Drosophila melanogaster: one gene and its partner. The protein of the gene in region 1 interacts with the protein of each later gene in a pairwise test. Each region holds a gene or a part of one and is shown on either strand. Other genes may lie near its edges.

The links.
Region 2: the proteins of ND-ASHI (region 1) and CG42709 interact in a two-hybrid assay, tested with the Drosophila melanogaster proteins (one large-scale study listed by BioGRID).

Annotation. Positions count from the first base shown.
Region 1 is NC_004354.4:6,676,762-6,681,610, reverse strand, and holds ND-ASHI (NADH dehydrogenase (ubiquinone) ASHI subunit), read left to right. Parts: upstream 1-2,492; 5' UTR 2,493-2,994; coding exon of another isoform or gene 2,995-3,081; exon of another isoform or gene 3,082-3,187; intron 3,188-3,350; exon of another isoform or gene 3,351-3,413; 5' UTR 3,414-3,526; coding exon 3,527-3,611; intron 3,612-3,729; coding exon 3,730-3,959; intron 3,960-4,035; coding exon 4,036-4,248; 3' UTR 4,249-4,349; downstream 4,350-4,849. Other genes in the region: Fum1 (fumarase 1), read right to left, coding at 1-174, 239-1,043, 1,113-1,313, 1,654-1,785, 2,995-3,081; Mcm6 (minichromosome maintenance 6), read right to left, coding at 4,652-4,849.
Region 2 is NT_037436.4:12,788,422-12,796,191, reverse strand, and holds CG42709 (uncharacterized protein), read right to left. Parts: upstream 6,001-7,770; 5' UTR 5,810-6,000; intron 4,975-5,809; exon of another isoform or gene 4,758-4,974; 5' UTR 4,612-4,757; coding exon 4,559-4,611; intron 2,377-4,558; coding exon 2,192-2,376; intron 2,131-2,191; coding exon 1,877-2,130; intron 1,812-1,876; coding exon 1,536-1,811; intron 1,396-1,535; coding exon 1,104-1,395; intron 1,030-1,103; coding exon 868-1,029; intron 735-867; coding exon 580-734; 3' UTR 108-579; downstream 1-107. Other genes in the region: Atg1 (Autophagy-related 1), read left to right, coding at 7,564-7,651.

The DNA of each region.
Region 1 (4,849 bases):
GTGTGGTGCCATTCTTGTGCGCCGTCTTTGCAATTTTCGCAGCCTTGTCGTAACCAATGTGCGGATTCAGAGCGGTCACCAGCATGAGCGACTCGTTCATGATCTTGGCAATATTCTCGCGGTTCGCCTGGATGCCATTCACACAGTTGGCAGTGAAGGTCCTGCTGCCATCAGCTACAAAAAGGAATAGATTCGATTGATTTGGCGTTCCACCAAGGGTGGGTAATAGGTAGCTTACACAATAGCCGAATGGAGCGCAGCACATTGGACACGATCAGGGGCTTGAATACATTCAGCTCGAAGTGCCCATTGGATCCACCGATGGTCACCGCCACCTGATTGCCCATCACCTGGGCGGAGAGCATTGTCAGCGACTCGCATTGCGTGGGATTCACCTTGCCGGGCATGATGGAGCTACCTGGCTCGTTCTCCGGTAGCGAGAGCTCACCCAAACCGCAACGCGGTCCGGAGCCAAGGAAACGAATATCGTTGGCAATCTTCATCAGGCTAACGGCGATCGTGTTGAGCACACCATGCACCTCCACCATGGCATCGCGGGCAGCCAGTGCCTCGAACTTGTTGGGCGCGGTAACGAAGGGCAGGCTGGTCAGCTCGGCGATCTTTGCAGCGCACTTCTCGGCGAATCCCTTGCGTGTGTTCAGACCCGTACCCACAGCAGTGCCGCCCAGAGCCAGCTCATAGACGCGCGGCAGACAGGCATCGATGCGCTCCTGGGCGTAGGCCAATTGCTGGGCATAGCCGCTGAACTCTTGGCCCAGCGTCAATGGCACCGCATCCATCGTATGCGTGCGTCCGATCTTGATAATGTCCTTGAACTCCTCCGACTTGGCACGCAGCGCATCGTGCAGCGTCTTAATCGCCGGCTTAAGGTTGTTGTTCAGCTCCAGCGCCACCGAGATGTGAATGGCGGTGGGGAAGGTATCGTTGGAGCTCTGCGATTTGTTCACATGATCGTTGGGATGCACGGGCGTCTTGGAGCCCAGTTTGCCGCCCAGCAGCTCAATGGCACGATTGCTGATCACCTTGAGAGTTAGAGAGTTAGAGGAGATTTGAGAATAGTGCAAATGAAACAAATGACCGCTCATGCCCACCTCATTCACATTCATGTTGCTCTGCGTGCCCGAGCCCGTCTGCCAGATGACCAGCGGGAAGTGGTCGTCGTATAGCTTGCCAGAGATCACATCGTCGGCCGCCTTCGAGATCGCCTCGCTAACCTTGCTGTCCAGTCCGAACTCCTTGTTCACCTCGGCGGCGGCCTTCTTCAGGATGCCCATGGCCTGGACCACGGGTTTCTGGCGGGGATTAACGAGAGTTTTAGTTGCTTTCAATGTGTTTTCTTCTTATTTTTTACTTTACGCAACATACTTGTGTGTTATGTTAATGTAGTTAATACATTTTTTAGACTTTAACTTTCTATAGACTCTGAATTACAATGAACAAACTCATTGAACTAGCATTCACCATTTGTTCTGCTTTCTGTAATAGAAGCTTAATTTAAGCCATATTTTACTTAGTAATTAGCTAGACCTTGCTGCTTTTTGAACCTTCAATGCTGACTTTTAAATACTTTCGAAAGATTTACGTGAGAATTATATGTATACGTAGATGGAGGCAGTGGGGGGCACTACTTACGGGCATCCGTTCGGTGGCTCCGCCGATGGGGAAATTGATCTGGGATCGCATCGTTTGGGCGCCATAGTACTTATCCGCGGGCACCTTCAGTTCGCCAAAGGTGTCGCTCTCCACGCGAAACTCCTGGGAGGCCTGTCGATGCGAATGAATCCGATAAGAATGGCTATAATTATCAGTAAGTAAACACAGGGGCAGACCATTTCAGATGCAGATATGACAGATAGTAAGTAAGTGAAGCCAAATTGAGACTATGGCAATCAGAGTGAACAAATCAGAGGACGACCACTCGACGACGGCTGCTGCTCGATGTTAACTGAGGCGTGCTCGGGCATTGAAAGGCAGAGGCGATAAGCTAGGGGGATTCAAAACCAAAAAGCCGAGTGTACAACGAACAGATTCTTGAAAGAGCGCTCTCAACGAGCGAACTTCCCGCAGAATTGGTGGGAGGTGTTGAATGCCCGAGCACTGGGCGCTGAATATGAAAGACCCAACTTGGGCATGGGGTGCACACAGCAGGGGGCACGAAAGTAGTGCGAGGATCTCGAACTATATTTGTGTATATATGTATATTGTATGCATAATAATTGCAATAGCAATTCTATAAAAACAGACTGATTCGAACTTTTGCATTTCCAGTGCTATTCATGTGACCAGCGCTGTTCCTCGGGATTTATGGGTGGAATTTACGCCGGACTGTAGCTCTACTATCTAGTGTCTTATATACATATGTTTTATATGCAGCATTATCTGAATAATCGGTAGTGTATTACAGTGGTCGTTCATTCATCTAGTACCATATATAATTAACCGGTTTTAATTCAATTGCCGAAAAAAAAAAACAAGAATTCGCTGACTAGCACAATTTCTTGAATTACAACTCGTTTCGCGAGTTTATGGTTCTCTCTTTTCCCTTTTTTTTTCAACGCCGTGAGTTTGTTTTGTTTTCAATCATGTGATTTGAGTTTTGAGTGCGAAATGAAAATAAAAAACGTTTGCGAAAATTGAGTGAAAAAATCAATGCGACGGCTTCCAATTGGAGTCGCGCGCCAATTGGAGTTTCGTCCACAAGTGGTCGCAGTGGTGTGCCAATTGGAACGTCCGTTCCAGCGCCTGGAAGTCGCTCGCCTCCGCTTTCCATTGTGTAATGATTACGAAACGCCGGCATTTGTGCACTTTTCATTGGCATTTCTGCTCGCCGCGCCTTGTTTACAATCAAAAAAATAACATATTTTGGAGTTATTAGCCGCTGCATGGGCGAATCTAGCATTACATAAGGCAAAATATTTTTGCCATCTCGCTACAAAATATATATCCAATTTGCACAGCACTTGGAATCCTTACCAGACGCAAACTTCCAATGGCGGCCCAGGGTTTCGTCATTTGTTGAACGCCGCGAAGCGTGGAGCGTTGCAATAATGGTAGCACCATCTCTATGCTTATTCCTTAGTCGGTAATTAATAAATAAGTTTGCAAGCAAGTGATCTTTCACGGACGAGCCCACCACAACAACACCAACAACAACAAAAAACAACAACAGCACCTCGATGCGCGGGTGAGAGCTATCGGACCATCGATTGTTCTTATCGACTTTGTAACGATTGCTGCCTAAGTTCATAAAAATTGAGAAACAAAAATCCTAAACATTTTTAAGAAACACCTAGTTACCTTAGTACTAACTGTAAATTCCTATTCCATAGCTAACAAATTTAAAATCTGTTGATAGTTCTATTTGTTTTTTTTGAAACTACAACTATCGATAGCAGACCGTTGCGGCACTGTATCCTATCGTTTGTGTGCCATCCGCAGGCGAACAGCTGTTTTTTCGGGAATCGTAACTTCAGAGGAACTTTTTTTTAGTGGAAACAAGCCTGCAATGTCGGCGTTTGTGAAAACCGTGTGCTTGGCCCAAAAGCTGTGCGCCGCCAATCCCGTCGTGGCTCGCCAGGCGATCCGCAGCAGTAAGTGTGAATCGGGGCTGCGCTGGCAACAGTGCAACCTGCCCCACTGTTTTGTTTACGTAACTTTTGCATGCACCGAATGGCTACAAATTCGAATTTCTCGCCATTTACGTTTTAGTGGCTGGCTGGAATAAGGACTACAAGCCGGGTCCGTATCCACAGACGGAGAAGGAGCGCCTGGCGGCGGCCAAGAAGTACTATCTGTTGCCGGAGGAGTACAAACCGTATGCGGACGATGGTCTGGGCTACGGAGATTATCCCAAATTGGGCTACGGTCTGGGTGTGGAGGCCAAGGACTCGTACTATCCCTGGGACTATCCGGAGCACAAGCGCAACCAACACGAGCCCGTAAGCGCCAACATCAACGGCTAGCAGCAGCTGCTGCATAAAAAAAGAGTCAAACCCTGATCCATTTCCATTGCAGATCTCGGCGGATCATGATCTGTACAGCGAGGATCGCTGGTCGCAGGCCGAACCGCCACGCTACAGCAATGCGTACTACTTTGCCTGCTTCCTGGGCGTGATGTCCGGCTGCCTGGCACTCTACTACTGGCTGGATGACAAGAAGATGTACCGCCCCGTGGCCGCCAAGCAATATCCCAGCCCTGGCGTCAAGCACTACACCTTCGAGAAGTAGGATTGTATCTATCACGCTCTCGATCGCACTGCGCGCCTCGTTTTTATTTCATAGGCAATTAATCAACGCATCTATACAATTAAAATGAATGGAAACCAAGCTAAAACATGGATTTGCTATCATTTTGACTGCGCATGTTGGGTTGCATTTTTCATTCCGTTCTTAATGAGCAGCAAAAAACGAAATGAATCTTGAGATGAACGTTTATTTCGGCGAAAACATGAATGATTTGGAACGTAACTGAACCAAGAAATCCTTAATGGATTTCAATAATGTCTCTAAACTATAAACTTACTGCCTAAATACATTGTTTGTTTGGGTGAGCAAAAAAAAGCAAGACGCGGAAACAGAAACTTAACCAGCTAGATTTAGGGCATAGTAATAAACTGTTGATCGGCTGGGATCACTCCACAACGTAGTTGGGATGCACCACCAGCAGGGGATCGTCCTCCTCCACGAAATCCTTTTGTACCTGAATTCTCGGCTTCAGCGTGGATGTCTTGAGCGGAATAATGACCTGATCGTGATAGATGAGGCGATCGATAAGCTTCTCGATGAGATTTTTGCGAGAAATTAACTCATCCTCGGATTCGATTTGGTC
Region 2 (7,770 bases), on another chromosome or scaffold:
AGGAATGTGATATGAGGAGAGTATATAGGTAAATAATCAAGTCTATCAGATGTAATCTTTTTAATCTTTTGGTTTCATAATTCAAAACAATGGTTTTCTTTTTTTTTACTATGTACAATAATTACTTTTATTGTATTTTGGCAAAAGTCTAAAGCTAACAACTAGTGTATCTATGGGTTTACATTAATTTAAGTGTTGCGATGAAAATTGATTTTGGGATCTAAAACTAGAACAGTGCCAGGAGTTTTGGTGCGGGATCCCATTTACCGAGTCCCCCTAAAGAACAGAACGCTAAGCGACTAGGCGGCTTAACCTACTCCGACTAACAACTAGAATCTAACAACGGATTCGGTTCAGTTGTTGTGCGGGAAACATTGTAGGAGAGACTATATAGTTAGGCTAGATACCGCGTCAAAGTAGTTAACTAACTAGCCATATACATACGTGATATACATATACCTATTTATAATCTATCAAAAATGCCGTCAAAATGGAATTTGTTCTCGAAACTGGAGGAGAAGGATAGGATTCTCTTTTCATCTTCGATCGTTTGGTTTCGGTTTGTTTTGGAAAGTTTTCTTAGGCTAGCTTATTCAGTGGTATCTCCTCAGTGGGATGAACCTGATCCTTTGGCTCTGGTTTGCTAGTGCGGCAGCATTTGGTTTTGATGCCGCCAATATCCTGGCGGCAAATGAGTCCGATGACGATGCCAATCACGGCCAGAACCATGATGCCTAGTGGATTAAATTGAACAAATTAGTCTGGTTTTGTACCGCAAGTAAAAGGTGTATAACTCAAACTATAACTGTTTAGCAAGATGCTTAAAATAGTTGATGTTATAAACCTTAAACCGCAGTTTGTACTCACAGATGAGCAGCGTGTTGATGGCCTCCTGGGAGATCTGCACCTGATTGGTCTGGCTCTCGGCAGGCGGCTCCACGCTGACTCCGCTTGTGCTGGTCTCGGAGCTCAGGATTCCGGCTTTGACCAGCTCCGTGCTGTTGTCCATTTTGCCCCGATTGCGATTGGCTAAATGCGAACAATGGGAGGTGAGCAACAGACACGTTAGCAAGATGATCTACGAGTCATGGGAAATAGCTCACCACTTCTGGGCGGTGCGGGTGTGGCGGTCACTGGCTTTGCAGTGCTGGTGATGCTGGCGACGATGGGCGGATTTGTAATCCCCTTGAGCGGCGGCTCCGTGGGATAGATGAGACTGCCGTTGAAGGGGGTGCCCAGTACGAATTCGTAGCAGCTGATGTCGTAGTTGAGGAAGCTAATCGTGTCGATGGAGGTCAGCAGGCTGCACAGCTCCTCGATGTTCTGTTGTTCCAGTTCCGGCAGCTTCAGTTTAATTATTTTTGTTAGCGGCGAGAAAGCTTTCGTATTGATTTGCTGTCGGAATGGAAAAGCGTGAGCGGGACAACTATATAGACAACTGCGCGATGGCAAACACAGCTGTTTTGGCTTCAGTTGCGCCAACTATCGATAGAGCGATAACTTGTGCTATCGCACTTTTGGCTCGCCATTCTTACCTGTTTAAAATCGTTCTTGTTCAAGCGCAACACCTCCAGGCCACTCATGTTCTGGAACGTCTGTTCCGGCAGTTCCGTCCAGCTGCAGTTGACGCAGCTGAACTCCACCAAGTCGGGCTGGTTCAAGAAGGATCCGTCCAGGCGCTGGGTTATGGTGTTGTTGCTCAAATCGAGTAGCGTTAGTTCCTTGGCCGCCGCAAAGGTGTCGGGATCGATTTTGGTTAGACGGTTGTTGGCCAGCCGCAGGCGCTTCAAACGCTCCGATCCCTGAAAGACCTACAATAGATAATAAGCACATTAGTTACAATTTATCTAATTAGTAGAATTAGCTGGGCACTTACATCCTTGTCTATGCTGCTGATCAGATTGTGATTCAAATTGATTTCCACCGCCCTGGACAGATTGGCAAAATCCTCCGGCCTCAGTTCGGCAATCACATTATGGCTCAGATCGATGATGGCCGCCGTTTTGGGCATGTCCAGGGGTACATGGGTCAAATGGGCATTGGCACACTGAACGAACTTGAAGTCCTCCAGGCAGAGGCAGTTGCGCGGGCAACTGGGCTCCAGGACATGGTTGCTGCGTCGTGGTATATCTGCAAAACGATATTCATTAGCCTTTTCAGTTCGGAATATATAGATTTATGTTATGCTCACTAAATATTGGTCGAAATGTGGTGGTGGTCGATGTGGAGGATGATTGTGGCATCAGTCTATTTTCTGCTGTCTCCGGCGATTCCTCGCCCGTCGCTGTTTCACTGTAGTCATCATCGCCGTAATTAAAGTCCTCGAGGGGATTTGCCTCCTCACTGCCCGCTGGAGCGGCATTTGTGTGGCTGATGCTGTAAGAGTAATCATTAAATTATTTTCCGGTCTCGACTGAATAAACCAACAATATACCAATTTGGTTTTTTCCACGACTTATAAACGAATTCACATTGCTTATGAAGAAAAACGCAGGGCAATTATATGTCAAACGAATGCGCATTTCTGATAGAGCAATTACTGTACGAATTCGTTAAGTGGTTTTACCAAATACCCAAAATTGTCAATATTTGGCTTTAGATTGTCGGTGGGTTCTAAGCGGTACGTGCTTACATCACTCACGTCTTGAAGGCGAACACACCTAGCTAATTTGTCCTGAAAACGCTCTTGACCCATATCGTTATGACCACGCCATAGCCACACAGAAACATTCGTTTTCCCCACTATCATTATACGGCTATTGTTTATGTTTGCTCCGCGAAAGAACATGAATGAATACACTCACATGTGCGAACAAGCCTACATACAAAGTATTTCTCGCTACAGTCGTGGTCACAGCAATAGCCCTTAAATGAATTAAAAGTATTCAATGATACAAGGCTTCTTAATGCAATTCATTAGATTATGCATATATTGTAAAATATATTTTGCCTTTCGTTTTTTAAGAATAAAGTAAAATCAAATAGATATACTTTCAAGCTAAAGAAAATAAAGAAAGCACACATTTCTTTTATTGTAACTCAAGCACTTTTATTGTCTGTAAAGTTGTTTATTTGTTTCTGTTAACTGACCTTACATTTTCGAAACGTACTGTAGCTACTCAGTAAAAAGCACAGATGAAACCAGTTTACTTCATGGCAAAAGAGACAACTCGACCGGTTTTAGTTTACGATTTCGTTTACTCTCACTTTTTTCAGATTTATTTTATTTTTTTGCTGTCATTTGTGACCCCTCTTCATTTTTTTTTTTGTCTGATTCTAAATCGTTCGTTATCCGTGCATTCGGCGACTTCAGTTCTAGTGGGTTGTATTTACTTTTAGAAAAAAAGGTGTAAATTGGCTAGTAGAGTAGTTCAAGTGAGTCTTTTGACTGCCATGTAGAGTTCTCTTCAATTGCGTGACTTTTGAGTGAAGTTTCAATGAATGCTGCTGAGGAGCCTTGTCAATCCTTAAAAGTGCCAAAATGAACAGAATGAACGACTTTATAGAGTCGAGTACTTGAACCGCAAGTGCTGATATGTAGCTATTAATTGGTATATAGTCCTACCGGATAATAAAGATATATTTATCGAACGTTACGAATTGCCTTCAAGCTTCAGCTGCTCGCCGAAGTTAATGGGTATTACGAAAGATCTCTAAACTGTTACTAAGCATGACGACCTAGTCGACGTAATTCCCTTGACTACTTGAATGAAGTGACTAAAATTGGAAGCGTCGCACTTAAAAGCACTCTACTTTGACATTTGATTTCGAGTGGCTGAAAAGGTTTAAAAAGGCCCAAAAATCAATAGAGAAATGGGCTTATGTGCACTGGGAAAATTATACTAGTACTAACATGCAAAGAACGATTAAAGAATTTTATCTTAGGTTTTAAAACTCAGAAGTATTTAAAAAGATTTTTTTTAGGGCAAGAATATAGAATATTTATACATAATCGATAATGTCTAAACCTCGTTTCAGTTGTAAATTAAAAGAAAAATCTGAAAATCGAGACAGTTATAAATTTCTATGTCATTTGCAATATTGCTTGAGATATTGGTTGAGAAATTCAAAACGCTGAGCAAACAATTTGATAAGCAATAACGGTATAAATTATCGGACAACCGGGGAATTGTTATTATTTTTATCAGAACCAGATTATGCGATATGATTAAGTAGAGTGTAAATTCGTGCACCTTATATATATATTAAAGGCGGCAATTAAGAGCGGTTGCCGTGGACTATCAATAAAATGTTGCTGTTTTTTTTTTATAACCCCATGCGTGAGTATTCCATTTGGCATTGATATCTCAGTTGTGGGCGGGTCAAAGTCCCGTTACCCTGGTTCACCTGTCGTTATTTCGTTTTTAGTGAATTAATCACTGCGAATGTTGCTAAACGGAAACTTTGCCCCGTGTCTTCCCTGTTTTTCGTTTTTAGGAAAGGGTCTACTGATTTCTATAAATAAATGGATTACTTATTTTCCAGCCCCATAAGAATAACAAATGTGATTTCTCCACATATCGAGATCTGTAAATATTTATTACAACTTGATTTTTACCTCACGCTTAGCAAAAATATCAGCAGTAATCCAAACTTGTAGTACACGTGCATTATTATGAATTATTTGTTTACTGATATTTGTTTAGCTTTGTTTTCACTGCGTCTTCAAGGCGTCGTGTTGTTTGTATTTGTGTTTATCTCAGGGTTTTCATAGCATTTTCGTCGTTTTTGCCAAACTTGATGTGAAAATTTTCAAGCTGAAAATAGATTTTATTAGGTGTTAGGGGCCTATTTTTGCACCGCTATTCTCGTTTCACTTTGCACTTTTAATATTCATCTGTTTTGCTTTGAAATTACAGCTTCAAAGTTGATTAATGTCCATTTACATTTGCCGGCTTACTTTTGGCAAAAGTAAAATAATTATTTTTCACTCCGCTCGCACAAACTTTTCCACTCGCTGCCGATTCTCGAATGAGCAAAAATTCGCCAACAATTCCCATTCCGTTCGACTGACTGAACAGGTGTGTGTGTGAGAGCTTCGAAGAGCGGCAAATATTATCTCTTTTTCTTTACTCTCACTCTCTCTTCCAAACTCTCTCATGTTAAGTTTAATGTTTAGCCGTGGTTATCTTATCAGTTTTTAATATTTAATTGCTTTGTCTCATACCCTCGCGATTTCTGCTTAGCTTTTAACCAACTTCTGACTTACTAATCGATTATTATCAATAGTAACAATTATGGAATTCATGTTTTCAATGAAAACAGAAAGAGCAAACTCACACTTTAAGCACCGTAAATAAAGGCTAATCGGTTTGGGTAATCCTATCTTAATTAATAAGCATTACATCACATTAGAAATTAAAATTTCAATTGCCATATTTTCAACATAATAACTTAAGCAGCAGATTTGGAAGTACAAAGAAATCTTTAGGACGGCTTGTAATATTAATAAAATTAATTACACACTTGTCTGATTAGAATTAACGCCGATCGTAATGAACTTTGCTTTGGACTTGACTTATAAGTCGGTCGGCCCGCCTTTTGATATGAAAAAAGGGAAGCTTTCACAGTTTATTTACATAATTTGCTGGAAAAATGTGAAACACTTGGCTGGCTGAATCATAGCGATTAAATTGGACGTGATTTGAGTGAAAAGTTTGTTTGAATATTTGTTTCACCGAGTGCTAAGTTAAACTCTTGTTTTAATCCCGTTTCTAGGTCTTTGTGTTGTGATTGCGATGAACAATGTATAGCAGCAGCGTTCTTTTTATCGCCTAGAATATGTTGACCTTTAGTCCACTGCGCTTACTTCGAATGACACGCGTCGTCGTTTTTCTCGATAATATATGTACTAAATTGGGTATTACACTAGAGAGTTTTCTCATCGAATTCTACTGAATGGAGGAGTATCGCGTTTAAATTATACTTAATGATTTGCTAACTTGGCTTTTTGTTGTCGCGCGATAACGTGCGACTCATGCCACCGTCGATTTGAGAATGAGCTGCGAACGGAACCGCAGAAGTTGCGAGCTTAAAAATTGAGTAAGTTGAAATAGAGCGGCTGAAGAGAGTCTTCTCTTAGCTTTCGAATCGCTCTCTTCACACTTGATTCTTCAAAATAATATTTAAAAAAGAAAGAAAAAACAGAGAAGCCCATTAATTACGCAAGTGCATTTTTCAATAAATCGCTGACTCATGGGCACTTGTTGCCGGGAAATGGCATTGCATATAATTTAGAAATTGTTAAAAAGCCCCAGAGGAAGAAAAACCCTCTTCGTTGCGAGTATTCCACCATTTCCTTCAAACTTTTACTTTTATGTTTATGTTTATGTACTTTACATGTCAATGACTTTTTGTTTAATGTTCTTCGCTCTTCGCTTCTCTTCGGCGATTTTAGCGATTTCACAAAAAGCGAGTGCAGTGAAATCTTTTGTCATTTCAAATTGGCTGTTTAATTGCCTAATGTTGCTTTGTTTGCTCATTAAACTGTAAGTGGTCCATATATTTTCTCATGAAAAACAAAAAATCCATAAAAGCGGATAAAAATGTTCGCCGCGCACATTACTTTTGTTGGTTTTTGGTGGTTGTGTTCGTGTGGAATTCTATAGTCATGTCTTCGATTGGCGGCCTCAAGGTCAAAAATCGCAAATCCTTTTAGGCAACTTGCTCAGGCCAAAAATATAACGGCATTTTGGAGAGACAGGGGTTCGTTCTCTTCATTTACATTTTAGCGAGGGCTGCTTACAAAGTTCTCCCATATCGGGATATTCTATTTTCATTTTCAAGTTTTTCAAAAACTTCTTCATGATAACTGATATTCCTTTTTGCTGTTTTCGAATGCTTAGAGGTTTATATTTTATTTGAACATTTTGTTGCCTTTTGTTTAGCATTCACTATCATATACTTTATCAATGGCTTATTATTATAATATTATATTATATTATATATTAAAAGAGAAAATTATTAATTATTCTCAAATGAGTATGGAAAAATCACTGCAGTGAACGGGCATTTTTAAAAAACCTAACTGGTGCTTTACTTCAAAGATTAAAGATTACATGGAAGTGTATTTAAAATTCCAAGTGTAAATTCCCCTAGCATATTCAATATTCTATAGCTTATTTTTACCCCAACTCTTTCTCCGCATCTGCTGACATAAACCGGAACAGAACCTTTGTTGGGCAAACGACAAAAGAAAAGCAGCTGGCTGTCTGGGCTGATCCATAAACATATTTCCCTAATTCCAGTTCTTGATTCAGAAAATTGCCATAAATCATATTCGCTTTGACCTTGCCGTTTTCTATGATTGACTGGGATTTGCACAAAAGTCGAGCGAGCAGCTGGAAGCTAAAAGATGGAAAGACCGACTGAATCAAATCTCGGGACTCTTTCATTTTCGCACTGATTGGACTTAATTCGTTTGCATGGGTTGCATTCTGCTTTTGAGGTCTTTTGGGGTCCCAGAAGATTTATATGCGCGCTGAACTCTTGACTCGTGGGGGTCTCTCTTAATTTAATTTCCCAATCAGCTCCACTCACGCTCTTCATCCTTTCTCTTTACAGTATTGCAATGGCGGCGACTTGGCGGATTATCTGAGTGTCAAGGGGACGCTCAGCGAGGATACCGTTAGACTCTTCCTCGTGCAACTAGGTGAGATTCGAAAATCCTATATAAGGGGTAGCCCTAACTAATAATTGTCAAAGATCAATATAAATTGTAACATTAATATTACTTTAGAACAACGAAATGTATTATAATTAAATATCAGA